2 linked regions of the Notamacropus eugenii genome follow. The protein of the gene in region 2 purifies or fractionates together with the protein of the main gene of each other region. This does not show direct contact. Links are inferred from orthologs where the notes say so. Each region holds a gene or a part of one and is shown on either strand. Other genes may lie near its edges.

Evidence for each region. Proteins that work in one complex are often made in the same cells at the same time.
Region 1: the proteins of AMBRA1 (region 2) and BAG5 purify together in Homo sapiens (affinity purification with mass spectrometry, with the first as the bait; 3 studies listed by BioGRID). This does not show direct contact. The link is inferred for Notamacropus eugenii from reciprocal best matches to the Homo sapiens genes AMBRA1 and BAG5.

The regions. Positions count from the first base shown.
Region 1 is NC_092872.1:349,349,287-349,356,982, reverse strand, and holds the start of BAG5 (BAG family molecular chaperone regulator 5), read right to left. Parts: upstream 3,012-7,696; coding exon 2,806-3,011; intron 2,641-2,805; coding exon of another isoform or gene 2,623-2,640; coding exon 2,533-2,622; coding exon of another isoform or gene 2,473-2,532; intron 2,267-2,472; coding exon of another isoform or gene 2,189-2,266; intron 1,960-2,188; exon of another isoform or gene 1,629-1,959; intron 193-1,628; coding exon 1-192. Other genes in the region: COA8 (cytochrome c oxidase assembly factor 8), read left to right, coding at 2,189-2,266, 2,473-2,640, 2,819-3,193. UniProt on the Homo sapiens protein: Co-chaperone for HSP/HSP70 proteins. It functions as a nucleotide-exchange factor promoting the release of ADP from HSP70, thereby activating HSP70-mediated protein refolding.
Region 2 is NC_092877.1:4,222,763-4,229,753, reverse strand, and holds the start of AMBRA1 (activating molecule in BECN1-regulated autophagy protein 1), read right to left. Parts: upstream 3,007-6,991; 5' UTR 2,904-3,006; intron 1-2,903. UniProt on the Homo sapiens protein: Substrate-recognition component of a DCX (DDB1-CUL4-X-box) E3 ubiquitin-protein ligase complex involved in cell cycle control and autophagy.

The DNA.
Region 1 (7,696 bases), on a different chromosome or scaffold from region 2:
GAGTCAATTTCAAAAAGTTGTTTAGTTAGAATCCTCTCCAGTTTCTTATAGTTCTTGTCATCCGAGAGACCACTGAAGGCAATTACTTGTTGTTCAATATTCTTCACTTCCTTTTGTATTTCCTGAAGCCTACTAATAGAAGGATGTTGATTTCCCATATCCATACTTTTATTTGGTTCAGTTCCACAAGAGCTAAAAAAATGAGAAAAGTGATTAGTTATTTCAGTGTAATGTCTTTACAGAACAGGAATAGTTGTCATGCATTAATTCATTTTAAAATAATTTCATTTCTTCCACTTATTCTTTACATTGCAGTATTATGTTAGCTTTCTATTTCAAAAGTTGCCTAAATCTGGCTACATTTCACAAGAGTACATTTCAAGGATCCATAACTTTGATGTGGCTACTCCTTCATCAACATATAGCAATCCCTCAATGATTAAGCAGAAATCTTCTAGAGCAGCTGAAGACCCAAAATTCATCACCCTGAAGACAATCTGAACTTAGCAAGGATGTTCCTCAGGTAACAGGCAGAGTGCCTGTCAGCTGGCACATATTTGAAGCTATTTCTGCTTGGCAGATCCTGCCAGTTTGCCTTTGAAAATTTTCATACCACGAGGAGAATAGAGGAAAACCTACCAAACTACCTAAATCAATAAAATTAGAAAAATAATCATATACTACATTATATACTTTGAGCCCGAGACTAGAAACCAAGAAGACTTGGATTCTATGCCACATGTTTGCTCTGTGGTGCTGGGGCAATGTATCTCAAATATCTTCAACTGTAATAAATAACTAAGGCACAACTTACTAAAAAAGGTCACAAAAAGCTTTTTAACATCATTACTCTTTTAGTTTCTACTCTTCAAAGTTTTTTTAAGCCATCAAATTGCTCTTTCCTTTTGTTTTATATAACACTAAAAAGTTAAATGGTTGAAAAAAGAGAACTTAAGGTAAGTAAAACTCCTTTTTTGATCTAATCACCCTTTGCCCTCCTTTTCCCAACAAAGAAAATGTAACAATAAGAACTAGGCTATTTAAGGAAAGATCCACCCCTCCAAACAAAAACCAAATACCGACATCAGATTTCTGCTAAATTCTTATTCCCTAGGATCATTAGCTGATCTACAGATTTTCTATTTTCTTCCTACCATCACTCCAAAATCTCAAAAACCTTATCTTTAAAAATCTGGCAAGGCTGAAACATTCAGCACTAGTGGAAAGGCAGGCAATATCTGAAGTCAGAAGAGCTGGACTGGATCCTAGGTTCTACTACCTATTTCTGAGACTCTGGGTAAATTATTTCACTTCCCTCTCTGGGTTTCATTCAATTTCCTCATCTATAAGATGCAAGGGAGAAGAGGTAGATTAGGTGATCTAAGTCCAAAGTCTCTTCCAGTTCTAAATTCCACGACAGCCATTTCCCCCCTCCCTCCAAATCAGGTCTACATGGGACAGAGTGCTGCTATTTAATTTAAATATAACTAATGCCAATTGAACTTTCACTCACAAACACTAGTTTCAAAACTTCCTATTGGCTTTACAGAGAGCAGGGCCATAAAATTACTAAAAAATTTTAGGGAGGCAGAAGTGAATGAGGATCTGGACCAGGTGCCACCTCCCACCTTGGGCTCCTGGTGTCACCACGTCAATGGTCTCCTCGAGTTACCCAGAAGGAAAGAAATGATGTTAAATTGCTGAGCAGTGTTGGAATTGGCCAGGCCCCTGTGTCTGCTTCCAGAAGTTGTTACGTTAAGATGGATGAGCCCCTTTACGGGTTAGGTGTCAAAGCGCAAAGCTGCATCCTGTTTCACCCCGCCCCGGCTAGTTCTGAAAGGAGCACAGGGCTCAGGGGACCGGCCACTACGGCCACCTTCTACGGCCTGGCTTCCTGGGCTGGGCTGCCTGGCTTCCAGGGGATCTCAGGCCTTGACTTGGCCCTGACCTCACAATAGGGTCCGCCATGGGGGAGGGGAGACCTCGGACCTTCCTGAGGCTCTCGGCAGCGCTCCTAAGGGGTGAGTTAAAAATCGATGACCCCATTCCCTCCCATGGGGAAGGAGGTCATGGGGGGGGGGGCAGCACCGGGGAAAGAACTGGTTCTGTGTGGGGAGGCACGATAGTGAGGAGACACCCCTTCCAGGCCCCCCAAAGCTAAGAGACCTAAAGACTTGGGGAGGGAAGGATGGGGGGGCCCACCCTGAGTAGAGAAGTAAAAAGCGGGGGCCCGGATTCCGAAGGCATGGGAAGGGGAGCCCGGCCTGTGAGGGGATCTGAGAAAAGGAAGGCATCCTGGGATGTGGGGGAGTGAAAAAATGGGGATCGGCCTCTAGGAACATGGAGGGAGTAAAAAGAGAGGGGCTGGCCTTTGGGAGTTTGTGGGGGGTGACAAAAAGAGACAATGGCCTGTCAGGGAAGGTTTAAAAAAAAGGGTGGGGAGAAGACTGAGGATGGGTCCCGGCCCGGCAGGGCACCGCGGGGGGTCCCGGTCCGGGGGTGGGGGTGGGGGCTGGTAGGAGGGATACATACCCCTCTATCTCGCTCCGGAGGGGCCACAGCGAGCAGTCGGTCACCACCGCCGAGTCCTTCACCCTGGCTCTTATCACCTCAAGCCGGACCCTGAAAGGAAAGCGTCCCGTCTGGCTCGGCCGCCCCTCACTCGTCCCAGCGCCACCATGGCCCGGGCCCCGGCCCCGCAGCCCGGCCTAGCTCTCCTTCTCTTCCTGCCCCTCCTTTTCCTCCTCCCCTTTCCCGCTCCGCCTCCCTCGCCCCCCACCCCCGCCCTGGGAAGGCCTGACCCACCCCCTGCGGCCAGAGGAGTCCTCCTGCGGCCGGGAGGCCGAGCGTCGGCACTGCCCCGGATCGCCAGGCGGGGGCGGCCCCGGCGGCCAGATGGAGCCCTGCCTCGCCGCCTCCGCCGCTCGCTGGTCACCTCTGGGCGAGTACACGGTCGGCCCCCGGCTCCCGGGCTCCTGCTCCTTCTCCGGCTCCTCCTCCGCAGCCGCCATTTTACGAGACTGCCGTAAAGCGGCGCGGCCGAGGCGGGGCCGAGGAGATGCCGATGGCGGCGGCCGCCCGGGTGGGCTGGAGGCAGGGGCTCCTCCGTCCGCCCCGCCGCGGCTTCTCCTGCCACGGCCGCCGGCTCGGCTCGGAAGAAGGGCCAGAGCCCCAGGACTCGACGCGGAGCCGGGTAACCAGGGCGTCAGCGGGGCGGGCCCGGGGCCCCCGAGGTGGCAAGGCCCGGCAAGTACGCTGGCCGGCCGTGACCCGCGGGAGCGACGGCGGTGCCACCGCGCCCGGGCCGGCGGGAGGGTGTCAACGAATCTCGGCGTGTGTGTGTGTGTATGTGTGTGTGTGTGTGTGTGTGTGTGAGTGTGAGTGTGAGTGTATGTGTATATGTGTGTGTGTATGTGTGTGAGTGTGTGAGTGACTGAGCCCCGACGGCTGTCAGTCTCGGTGTCACTGAGCGTCGGCGTGGTGGGAGGGGCAGACAGTCACTGAGCCCCGACGTGCGTCTGCCTCTGAGCCTCGGCCGGGTGGGGGGAGGGGCGGGGAGCGTGTCACTGAACCGCGACCCCCCCCCGGGGGGGAGGGGCAGAGAGGAGGCACCCGCTCCGGCCTCGTGGGGGAGGGGCAGACAGTCACTGAGCCCCGACGTGCGTCTGCCTCTGAGCCTCGGCCGGGTGGGGGGAGGGGCCGAGAGTGTCGCGGAGCCCCGACGTGTGTCTGTCCCTGAGCCGGGCCCGTGAGAGGTGGCACGCCGGCCAGTCACTGAACCCCACGCCTGTCTGTTGCTCATCCCCACTCGGAACGGAAGAGAGTGACTGACCGGCCTGGCCCTGCAGGGAGCGCGGTGACATCGGCCCTGATCGCGGCTGTGGAGGGGCACGGCTGGTGTCTGTGTCGCCGAACCTCGATGCGGTTTTATGGAGTCGTGTGTGCGCGCCCTAAGCCGCACGTTCCCGCGGCCCAAGCTCCTAAAGCGCTGCCTGGACGTCCCGCATCGTGGCGGAGCCCCAAATCCCGGCGCACTCTCTGTCCCTGGCGCTTCCGGACCCTTCAGGCCGGCTCCTCTCTGAGCCCCGGAATTCCGCAGCTGCTCCCTGCGGATTGGCTTGGGGTCGAGAACAAGGAGTAAACACCGTCGGACGGTGACTGCCGGTGCTTGGTTTGACTCGGGCCTTAGTTATGGTGGGTAGTGACCCTTGGCCAGGACCCCCTCCTCTCTGTTCCCGTCTTCCCTGATACATGGGGGCACAGCTAAATCTCTCCTACGTCTTTTGTGGGGGGAGAGGGAAAAAGGGGTTAGGATGGCATCTTTTGCCAGAGCTCAACCTTCTTCCATACTGGCTTTCTCTGGAGATATGATCAACCGCATTCTAAAAACAAGTGATTAATTTTAGCCTAATGACTATATAATATCCCTTAGGTCTCTTACTCTTTTAGGTCTTTTCTCTCCCTTTGTTGTTTTATGGAATTTATATCTTAATACCTAAGAGCTCCTAGAAAGGAAAATTCCTAACATTTAGGCAGAAGTTTGAATCTCTGCCCTAATTTATTGCTAGCTAATCCCAGGTCTCTATGTTTGAGGGGAAAATCAGGACGTATGAAATGTTTCTGTAAAAGAATTGACCAGAGTATATATTACAGTGTTTACCATTGTGTTTTGAAACCTCCTTCCCCTTTTGAAGAAGTATGACTGGTAGCTTCTTCACTCCAGTCTTCTCTCTGAGATATTTTTAAGGGCCCAATCCCCATCCCACCCCCCACCTTTCATTTCTCTGTTACAGCTCATGGGTTTGGGTTTTTGTTGTTGTTGCTGTTTTTTGCCTTCATATGAAAATACTAGCTCACTGACTCTGCTGAAGATAAAGTATAGAAATGCAGTATGGAAAATCAGTGTGGGATAGTGAACAGAGAGCTGGCCTTAAAAGCCAGGAAGATTTGGTCAAGCCTGATCTCTGACACCCTGGGCAGCTAGGTAGCCCAGTGGATAGAGAGAGCACTAGACCTGGAGTCAGGAAGACTCATCTTCCTGAGTTCAAATGTGGCCTCAGACACTAACTAGCTGTGTAGCCCTGTCTGCCTCAGTTTCCTCATCTGTAAAAAGAGCTGGAGAAGGAAGAGAGGCAGACTATCCCAGTATCTTTGCCAAGAAAACCATAAATATGGTCAGGAAGAGTCAGGTGGGACTGAAACTACTTGAACAGCAACAAGAAGAAACTCCAGGCCATAAATTGGATAAGTTGCTGCTTTTGTAGGGGGAATTTCCTCACCTATGTACAGAGACATCACAGTAATATTCCATTACATTCATATACCACAATTTGTTCATATAACACAATTTGTTATTCCCCAGGTATTAGATACATACTTCATTTTCATTTTTTACTACCACAAAAAGCGCTGCCCTAAATAGTTTGGTATGTATGGGAATTTTGTGTCATTTATAGTGAGATATCTGAGTTGAAGAATATTGATTAACTTAGTAACTTTTCTCAAATAATTTCAAATTGATTTCCAGAACAGTTACCAAGTCTATTAATTGGCTTACCTTCTAGCTAAACAGTCCAGTTCCCCAACACTGGCTGTATCTTGAGGATAGAGACCTTTATTTTTCTTTGAATCTCCAGTGTTTAGTACAATGGGTGACACATAATGGGTGTAAAATAAATACTTGTTAATTTTATCATCTTTACCAATTTGATGGTTGTAAAGGTGAAAGCTCAGAGTTAGGCCAATGTGCATTTCTCATATTAATTGGAACTTTTTTCTTACACTTAGTAGTTGGCATTTCTTTTCTTGAATATTGTTTGTTCATATTCTTTACCCAGTGATGTTTTCCATTGCTTTATGCTGCCTGAAAACTTAGAACTAAACATTTTTTGGAGCAGAGGTCAAAGTGAGTGATAGCCACTTCAGCCTCTATTTCTCTTATTACATCAGGATGTTATATAATGAGTTGATTTTTCAGAAGACTGTTTTCCTTGAATTACGATTCTAGTTATGGTGATAGAGCTCCACTGATTTCACTCGAGGTCTCATTGGGCCCTCTTCAGAGCAAGAATTCGTATTTACAAGGTAACTGAATAGTCTAAAGGGAGCATCATTTTGTAAGAGCAAAACTCAGACCAGTTTCTTGAAGGAGTCATACTTGTTGCATGGGGGCAAAGTTTCACTCTTGAAAATAGGTTCAGAAATTTACTGTTCCCTGCCCCCTCAACTCCCAATTTTGTGGCTTGGTACAGTGTAGATACGGCCTTATGTAACTATTGTCATTACAGTCTTCAGCATCGAAATGCTAACCAAGGGATGCTATTTATATTTCCTCCCAACTGTGTAACTACCAGTTAAAGCTACATTATAACTAACTGTTCAATTGACATTAATGGAATTTCGGGGTCTGTGAATAACACAGGCTATGCAGTATTATTTTTATTTGGAAAAGTATCATAAATAATGTTACTTTGCAGACATTACACTTGTGTGGTGAGGAGGTGGGCTGATACAGTGGCATTTTTTTTGTACCACAGATCTGAAGATCCATTTTTCTAATTTGCTTTCATGCTATGGCAAAAAAGCAAAAACCTCTATACTTAATGCCACTGCTGTCTCACCACCCACTCTTCAGAGCTTTACAATCTGGCTTCTAATCTCAGCATTCTACTGAAACTATTCTTTTAAAGATTATCAGTGATTTCTGAACGGCTAAATCTGATGGCCATTTCTAAGTCCTTGTCTTTCTTGACCTCTCTGGAGATTCTGATATTGTTATTTACCACTACCTTCTTGATTGGCGTTCATGATCTTATGCTCTCCTGGTCCTCTTCCTACCTATTTGCTTCTCCTCCATTGTCCTTGCAACTTCTGTCTCCTGCCTGTCTGTAGCCTCCACCTTTATTGCCTCTAATTCTGCCCTCTGGGGTCGAGCAGAACAATCCTAATCCCTCTACCTGGGGAGAAATAGCCCTTCAAATACTTGAAGACAACCCTCATTTATTCCCCTCCTTCCTAAGTCTCCTGTCCTCCAGGCTCCTCCACCACTGGTTCCTTTAACTTATTCTTTTATTTCATGGTTTTAATTGCCTCTTGTTTAGATTTGGAAAGGACCTTTGAAGTCACCCAACCCACTCTCCTCATTTTACACATAAGGAAAGAGAAATCTTGAGAGATTGAGTACCCAAAGTCACACAGGGTTTTAGTGCCTGAGTTGAATGTCCTTTCTAAAATATAGCATCTAGAACATAATTTTCTGGATGTGGTCTGACCACTGCAAACGATCTCTCTCACTTTTTTGACACTACCTTTTTTAATGCAAAGGTCATATTAACTTTTTCAGCTGGCAGACTCAAATACTTAAATGGATCTGTGGTCTCCTCAATTTGCAATCTTGTGATGTAGATTGCAATCTATCCTATGCCTCTGCCATGTTGTCACTCTTGTTTGTGTTTTTCTATAAATTTGCTAAAGCAGATGCCACCCAGCATACTAGTGGCCTTCACTTTCTCTTGACCTCATGGTGGTCCACCTATCATTTCTCACCATGTCTCCAGCTTGTCTCTTCTTTTCATACAATTTTTTAATGACATCTTTTATAACTGTCTTTCTGTATTCCTGTCCTTTCTACCATGCACCACTCCACATCCCTGTGTGATACTCATTTTTAATTCTTTAGAGATTGTTGTATTCTATG
Region 2 (6,991 bases):
CAGCCTGCCTCAATCTTTCCCTATTATAATCCACCACCCTCCACAGCTGCCAAAGAGATTTTCTTAAAGCGTAGGTCTCACCATGTTACTCCCCTACTCAATAAAATCCTGTGGTTTTTCATCACTTCAAGATCAAACAGAAGATTCAGTCTGGTATTCAAAACTCCTTTCCGGAATTATTGCCTATTGCTCCTCTTCTCCCTCTCCAGGGTCCAACCAGACTGGCCCTCTTACTTCTCCTCAAATATCACCCTGCCCCCCACCACTTTAACGTCCATCAGCTGTCCCCCATGCCCGGCATGTGTTCTCTTCTTGTCTCTGCCTCTGAGAATCCCTATTTGCCTTCAGAACTCAGTTCAAGCCGAACCTTCTGTAGGAAGTGCTTCTTCGTCCTCAGTCTCCAAAGCTGCCTCCAGTCTCTTCTGTATCTGCTTTGCACGGACCTATCTATGTATCTGTACGTCTCCTCTGGGGAGATGCCAGGTCAACCAACATCTATTAAGCATCTACTGGGTGCCAGGCGCTGTGGGGGATACAGAGGAAGGCAAAAACGATCCTCCTTCTCGAGGGAAGCCTCTCTGGGGGCAGACAACACTGAGTCCGAGATAGACTGAGAGGCGAACTCCAAAGGAAGGCGCAAGGATTAAGGAGGACTGGGAAGAACTTCCTGCAGAAACTGAAAGGAATCCAGAGAAGCCAGGAGGTCGGGGTGCGGAGCGCGGACACAGTCCGGGAAACTGCAAAGAGCCGGCAGAGAGGGTGGGGGAGGTCAGGAGGTTGGAAGGAGGCTTCCCTATGGAGGGGTGTCACCAGGAGACCCATCCTTTGGGAAAACAGGGCTGACAGCTCAGGAGGCGGCCAAGAGCTGCGGGGATGAGAGCCGGAGCCGGGACTACCACCTGGGAGAAGGGAGGGTGCGCACGAAGGGAAGCCCACCGGAGGGTAAGATCCGCAGCGCGTGGAGGGAGAGGGGAGAGACCACAGGACTGGAGGGCACCGCCGGGGCCTATCGGTGACAGAGAGGGGGTGAAGATGCCCATCCCAGAGCAGCAGGCAGGGGCAGGCACAAGGCAGGAAGCCAGCAGAGAGGCTGAGGAAGGGTGTGCAGAGCTGAGCATCGTCTACACGGAAACGATGACTCAGTGCACCGGGGCTGGCAGAGTGGTCCTCACCCGCCTCGTCTCGGAGGCGGGCACTGCCTTCACGTCCATCCCACAAACAGGGGAACTGAGGTCCAGCAGCCTGCCCAGACTCAGCCTCCAGCCGGCTCTCTGCGGACTGGCCCAGGTGACAGAGAGCGCTATCGAGGCAGGGGAGTTCAATGACGGACGCGGCTGGAGATGTCCCCGTCCCTGGAAGCCGGGCCGACAGGGCAGCCTGCTAAGGCCGGTCGGATCGCAGATGGCACGGCCGGCCCCGGGCCCTCCCCAGGCCGCAGCCTTCAGCTCCCACCGCCTCGGACAACGGAGCGTCAGGGTTAGCGGGCTCGCTGGGGCGTCCCACCGCTCAGGCCCGCAGACCTCAAGGTCCAGGGGCAGGCGGACCGTCCACACCTGCTGCCTGCCCTCCAGAACTGACCCCGACTTCACGGCAAGCCGGGTCAGAAGGCGTGGAAGGCCTGGAGGAAGCAGCTAGCCCCCCCAAGTCCCAGAGGATGACGTCAGAGCGCGGGACAGCCCCCGAACAAGAGCGAGGAACAGGACGAGGATCCCGAGTCTGGGGGAACGGAAGAGCCTCGGGACAGACGCGCGCTGCCCGGGCCGTGACAGCCCTGCCCCACGGCGCTCCGGGGCAGGGCCGGCTGAAGCGGCTTCTGGCCTCCAGGGGGAACGGCCGGCTTAGCACAGTGCCCGGAGGCGGGGCTGCAGGCTGCGGGAATCCCCGGACCGCTCAGTGCCCAGAGAAGGAAGCCGAGGCCCGGAGGACCGGCACCGGGCGGACCGGACCGGACGGACCGACCGGACAGGCACTTCGCTTCCTTCCGCAGTCTGGGGGCCGAGGCAGAAGCCCCTGCCCCGCAGCTCTGTGGGGAGTCCCAGGCCCCTCCGGAGCGGGCGCTCACACGGGGGCACCGCCTCTGCCCGCACCGGACCCCGAAGCCCCCCAACCCCCCCGGGAGGCCCCAGAGCAGCGCCCTCAGCCCCGGACAGACAGACGCCAGCTACGCCGGCAAAGTAAGCTAGACTCACTCCCGGTGCGCACCGGACCCCGGGCCGTCTGCCGCCGTTACTCCAACGACACCCCTCCGGAGATCCCCCTCAGCGGCACCCCCAGCACCCCGCGCCAGCCGCCATCCTCGGCCCGGCTGCCTCCTGCTGTGCGGCCACCCCCCGACTGGGGGGCCCCCGCGCCCTGCCTGCCGCGGGGGCCCGGTCTCAGACAACCAAAACGGCCCCCCGCCCCTTCCTTCTCCCCAAGACCTCTCCCGGGGCCTCTCACAGCTCCGTCTACAGGAAGATGATCCGGATCCAGATCCGGATCCGGAGCGTGCCAACCTCGGCCCAGAGCCCCGCGGTGCCCGAAGCTCTCCGGGAGCACGTGGCTGCCGGCCCCCCGGGAAGGCCCCCTCCCCCCACCGAGGCCGCGGCGATGGGGGGTCGCCGGGCACCGAAGGGCCGAGACGCCCCCCTGCCCCCAGTCACGGGCCTGCGGCCTCCCGGCTGGCAGCGCAGAGCACGCGGCCGGAGCCGAGGCCGGCCGGGGCGAAGGCCCGCAGGCCCCGGGGCAGACTCGGGGCGACCCCGCCCTCCCTCGGGGCCTCAGTTTCCCCGGGAACGGAGCTGGGGCTGAAAGGCCCTCGGCCGTCGCTCGGCCCCCCTCCCCCGCTCCCTCGACGTTACCGGGGAGGGAACAGAGAGGCGGCCGCCCGCCCGGGCCCGCGCCCTCGCCCGGGGCCTACCTACCTGCCTCCCTCGGAGGGCGGACGGCGGCGGCGGCGACGGCGGCGGCGACGGCCGGGCCTGGGCTCGCGAGCCGGCCGGCGGGCGGCGGGGGAGGGGAGGGGCGGGCGCGGGGGCGCGCGGCGGGGGGAGCGCGCGGCGGGGGGGAGGGGTCTGAGCGCGGGGACGCGGCCGAGCCTTCAACCCTGGTCCGGCCCCGGCCGCCGCCGCCGCCGCCGCCGCCGTCGCCGCCGCCGCCGCTGCCGCTGCTGCGGAGACATCGAGCGAGCAGGCCGCGCAGCCGAGCGCCGAGCCGGGAGCGCCCGGCGTCCGGCCAGACAGCGCGCGCCGAGCTCCGAGCGCTTCCAGGCCCGAGCAGCCGAGCCCAGGCGCCATGGATGGCACCCGGGCGGGAGCTCCAACCCTCCTCATTCCTCTGATCGCGGCCAGACTTCCGAGGGAGACTCCTAGAAAAATAACTTTTATGGATGCAGTTTGTTCCTCGGCATCCCCTCGGAGTCATGCAAATGACCAAAGGGAGAGCAGGAAAAAGTCAGAGGAACTGACCAGTCCGCGGCCAGAGTCCGAAACCGGGGACGGCGGACCCCCCGTGGACAGCAGAACCCCTCTGTGGAGAGCGCCCCCGCTCCCCGTGGACAGCGGACTCCCCGCCGTGGGCAGCGCCCCCCGCCCCCCGTGGGCAGCGGACTCCCCGCCGTGGGCAACGCCCCCCGCCCCCCGTGGGCAGCGGACTCCCCCTCCGCGGGCAGCGCCCCCCGCCCCCCGTGGGCAGCGGACTCCCTCTCCGCGGGCAGCGCCCCCCGCCCCCCGTGGGCAGCGGACTCCCCGCCGTGGGCAGCGGACTCCCTCTCCGTGGGCAGCGCCCCCGCCCCCCGTGGGCAGCGGACTCCCTCTCCGCGGGCAGCGCCCCCGCCCCCTGTGGGCAGCGGGCTCCCTCTCCGTGGACAGCCCCCCCCGCCCCCCGTGGGCAGCGCATCCCGCCCCAGCAGGAGGACCAGAGCACGGGCTGCGCCCCAGCCCGGGTGCGGAGAGGCCGCCGCGGACCTCCTGGTCCTCCCCAGGCTTCGGTGGGGCGCAGGGTACCCAGCGCGCCCATCGCTGTGGTTCCCAAAGCCACCGATGCTTCGGGGCGGAGTACAGAAGCTCTCTCCGGGTGCCGCCGAGTCTCCCCAGCCTCCCGGGGGTGCCTCCTCCTCCTTTCTCTGGTGCTGGGCACAGCTCCCTGCGATTTCCGATTCAGCACGGGACGTCCCCCGAACGCGAACCGGGCCAAGGGTAGAGTCGCAACCCCTGCCCTCAAGGAGCTCCTGATTCCTCCAGGATGGCAGGGAGCCTGGCAGCAGAGTGACTGGCAACAAGCCAGAGCGAGGGAAACCAGGGTATACTGAGGGTGATGACATGTGGGGGACGCACACACGTCCCGTAAAAATAACAAACATATGGACCAGTAGGGCAGAGAGTGGACATTTTCACATGAAATAACATTCAGTGAAAAAATCACAATACAAAACGCCTGCCCTGGCCCCAGTCATGTAGCGAGGATCGGAGGGAACTGTCCTGTTCAGAGAATCCTGGAACCTCCGAGTTCCCAGGCACCTCCAAGTCTTTTCCTCCAGCCCCTTCTGGGAAGCATGAAATGTCTCTCCTGAGATCCAGGATTTCAATATTCTTGTTCATGTTCAGAAACATGTTTGCTACATAATTACACATTATCTTTCAGACTGTGATTCATTGTAATGAGTTCCAGGATCATTATTTGTTTTCAGGTTTTGACTGATCAGTCTACAGAGGGCTAGCCTTTTGCATTCTTTAAAGGGCAAAGCCTTCAATACTCTTCAGCTCCTTTACAGGTTGGGAGTTTCTCTGCTGAAGGAAGTAGAGTTAATTAGCTGTGGCTGACTCTTGGGAACCTTCCCACAGCCTGATCACTCCCACCCTCAACTTCTGTGGGCCCTTCTACCTCATTCTTAGCTCTTCAGACACATGTGCCTCTTGAGAAACCCTCAAGAAGGCACCTCTACACCCAAGTCAACAGTTGGGAAGGAGATGAAAGTTACATGTTGGAAAAAACATATCCCAAGAATTGTTGGGGAAGAAAATGTCAGGAGAATTGAGACCAGGTTGTCCCCAGTACTTAGCCTAGCTTAGTGATTGATGGATTGAAAGGGTGCTGAAGTTGGGAGGAGATGCCTAGGTTCAAAAGAGGACTCTTTTCTATTATCTTGGATAAATCAGGGAATTCCTCCTCACTTTTATCTGTAAAATAACGAGATTGGAGAGGATGGTCTCTAAATCCCTTCCGTATCCATTGAGCATTTAATCAAGTGCTAGGCATACAAAAAGAGGCAAAAGGCAATCCAGGCCAGCCCTCAAAGAGCTAACTGTGTAAAGGGGAAGTCAATGGGCAAACATGTACAAAGCAAGCTATATAGAGGATAAAGAGGAAATAATTAACAGAGGGAATGCCATGGAATTAAGTGGGGTTGGGAGATGGTTCCTGTAGAAGGTGGAATTTTAGCTGGGACTTAAAGGAAGCTGGGAGGTCAGCAGCCAGAATGGACGGAGAGCATGCCCAGCATGGGGGACAGCCAGTAAGACTTAAAAGTACAAATGCCTCTGAAATCCGTCCAGGCCCTTTCCTGAGTTTGATTAGCACAGTCTTGTTTTGCTTTAGAAGGTTCTTTCCAGGACAGACTCCCACTTTGTCCCCCATGGCCTTAGGAACTACCAACTTCTTTTGATGCAGGGGGTCATAGTGAGGGAAACCTAGATGTAGGGAGCAGAGGTAACAAAAGTGGCTTGTGAGAGCCAGAGCAGGCCAGAGACACCAGTTACACTTTACAGGGAAAAAAATCATTAGGACAGTATTATTGCACAATGAGAACAGAGCTGAAACTTCCCTGACGTCACCACCCTCGTGACCCCATCTACTTCATGCCCAACCTCCTACCTGTCTTCCTACCAAGCGCACCCACTAGCAGCAGAGCAGGAATCACGATGACGGGAAACAGCATTCGGACTGGAAATAAGCAGATGCTAATCCCTAATAAGGAGTCACCTCCCTTTACTTCCCTGTCTGTCATCAGCTGTTCCTTTCTTTGCTTTGGGAATCACCAGACTAACACTCCTGAGCACAGCCTGACAGGAGGCACAGACAGGAGCAGATCAAGAGGACAGGTCAGAGACGACACATGGGCGGCTGCTAGGAATCTGGGAGAAAGAGAATCCTAAGGAAAGGCTCCTTTTGTCCCTAGTGAAAACATCAGCGTGTGAACCTCATTCATATGTTTGTTATTCCAATTAGGTTATTTTTAAATTGGTATAATTTTAGAGCCAGCGCTTAGTTAAGGATTGTTTATTACCTGGGAAATTTGTGCATCATTGGGTGCTCACAGATAGGATTTTAACTCTGCCCCTGCCATTGGGAGAGGCCAGGCACATTCCAGAACCCACGCTAGGAACCAAGTTTCCTTAATTGTCCTTTTCACCCTCTCATCTCTTGCCTTGTGTGTTAGGAAACCAGAGACAGGAAAGGCCAAGCCTTGCTTCAATACCATCACATGAAGAACCCTGATCCACTCAGGTACAGGCTCTCCTCAAAGTGGGCAAACTTGTTTCCCTATTAGTAATCGTGAGGCTGCAACAAAGGAAATTGCTTTAATAAGATTTCTTTGGAAAGAAAGGATAAGGTGGCAAAGTCCTCCTTTGATCAAACCTCCTCCATCTATTCTGATGTTCTACATAAAAGGATGGGGAAGGTAGGAGAATGAGAGAATAACATTCAGGTTTGGTCCACAGAGATTTGGTCAGATGTCTGGAGACCTGCTTCAAAATTTGACTCGAAAGGTCCAGACTGCTATCAGTCTCTAATTATCCTAGTTGGCAAGATTCTCTTGGCTAGGTAAAGTTTGAATGAATTAGTAACCGGAAACTTAAGGCAGATCATTTCATGGTCCAAATCACATTGATCTCAGGTTATGTCTAAATGAAAGGTGGAAACAGAAGTACTGTATTGATAATTTAGAACCAAAAATTTCCTTTTATTAGAAATATCGTGATAACTGACGCACAAGTGGCATTGTATTTTGAAT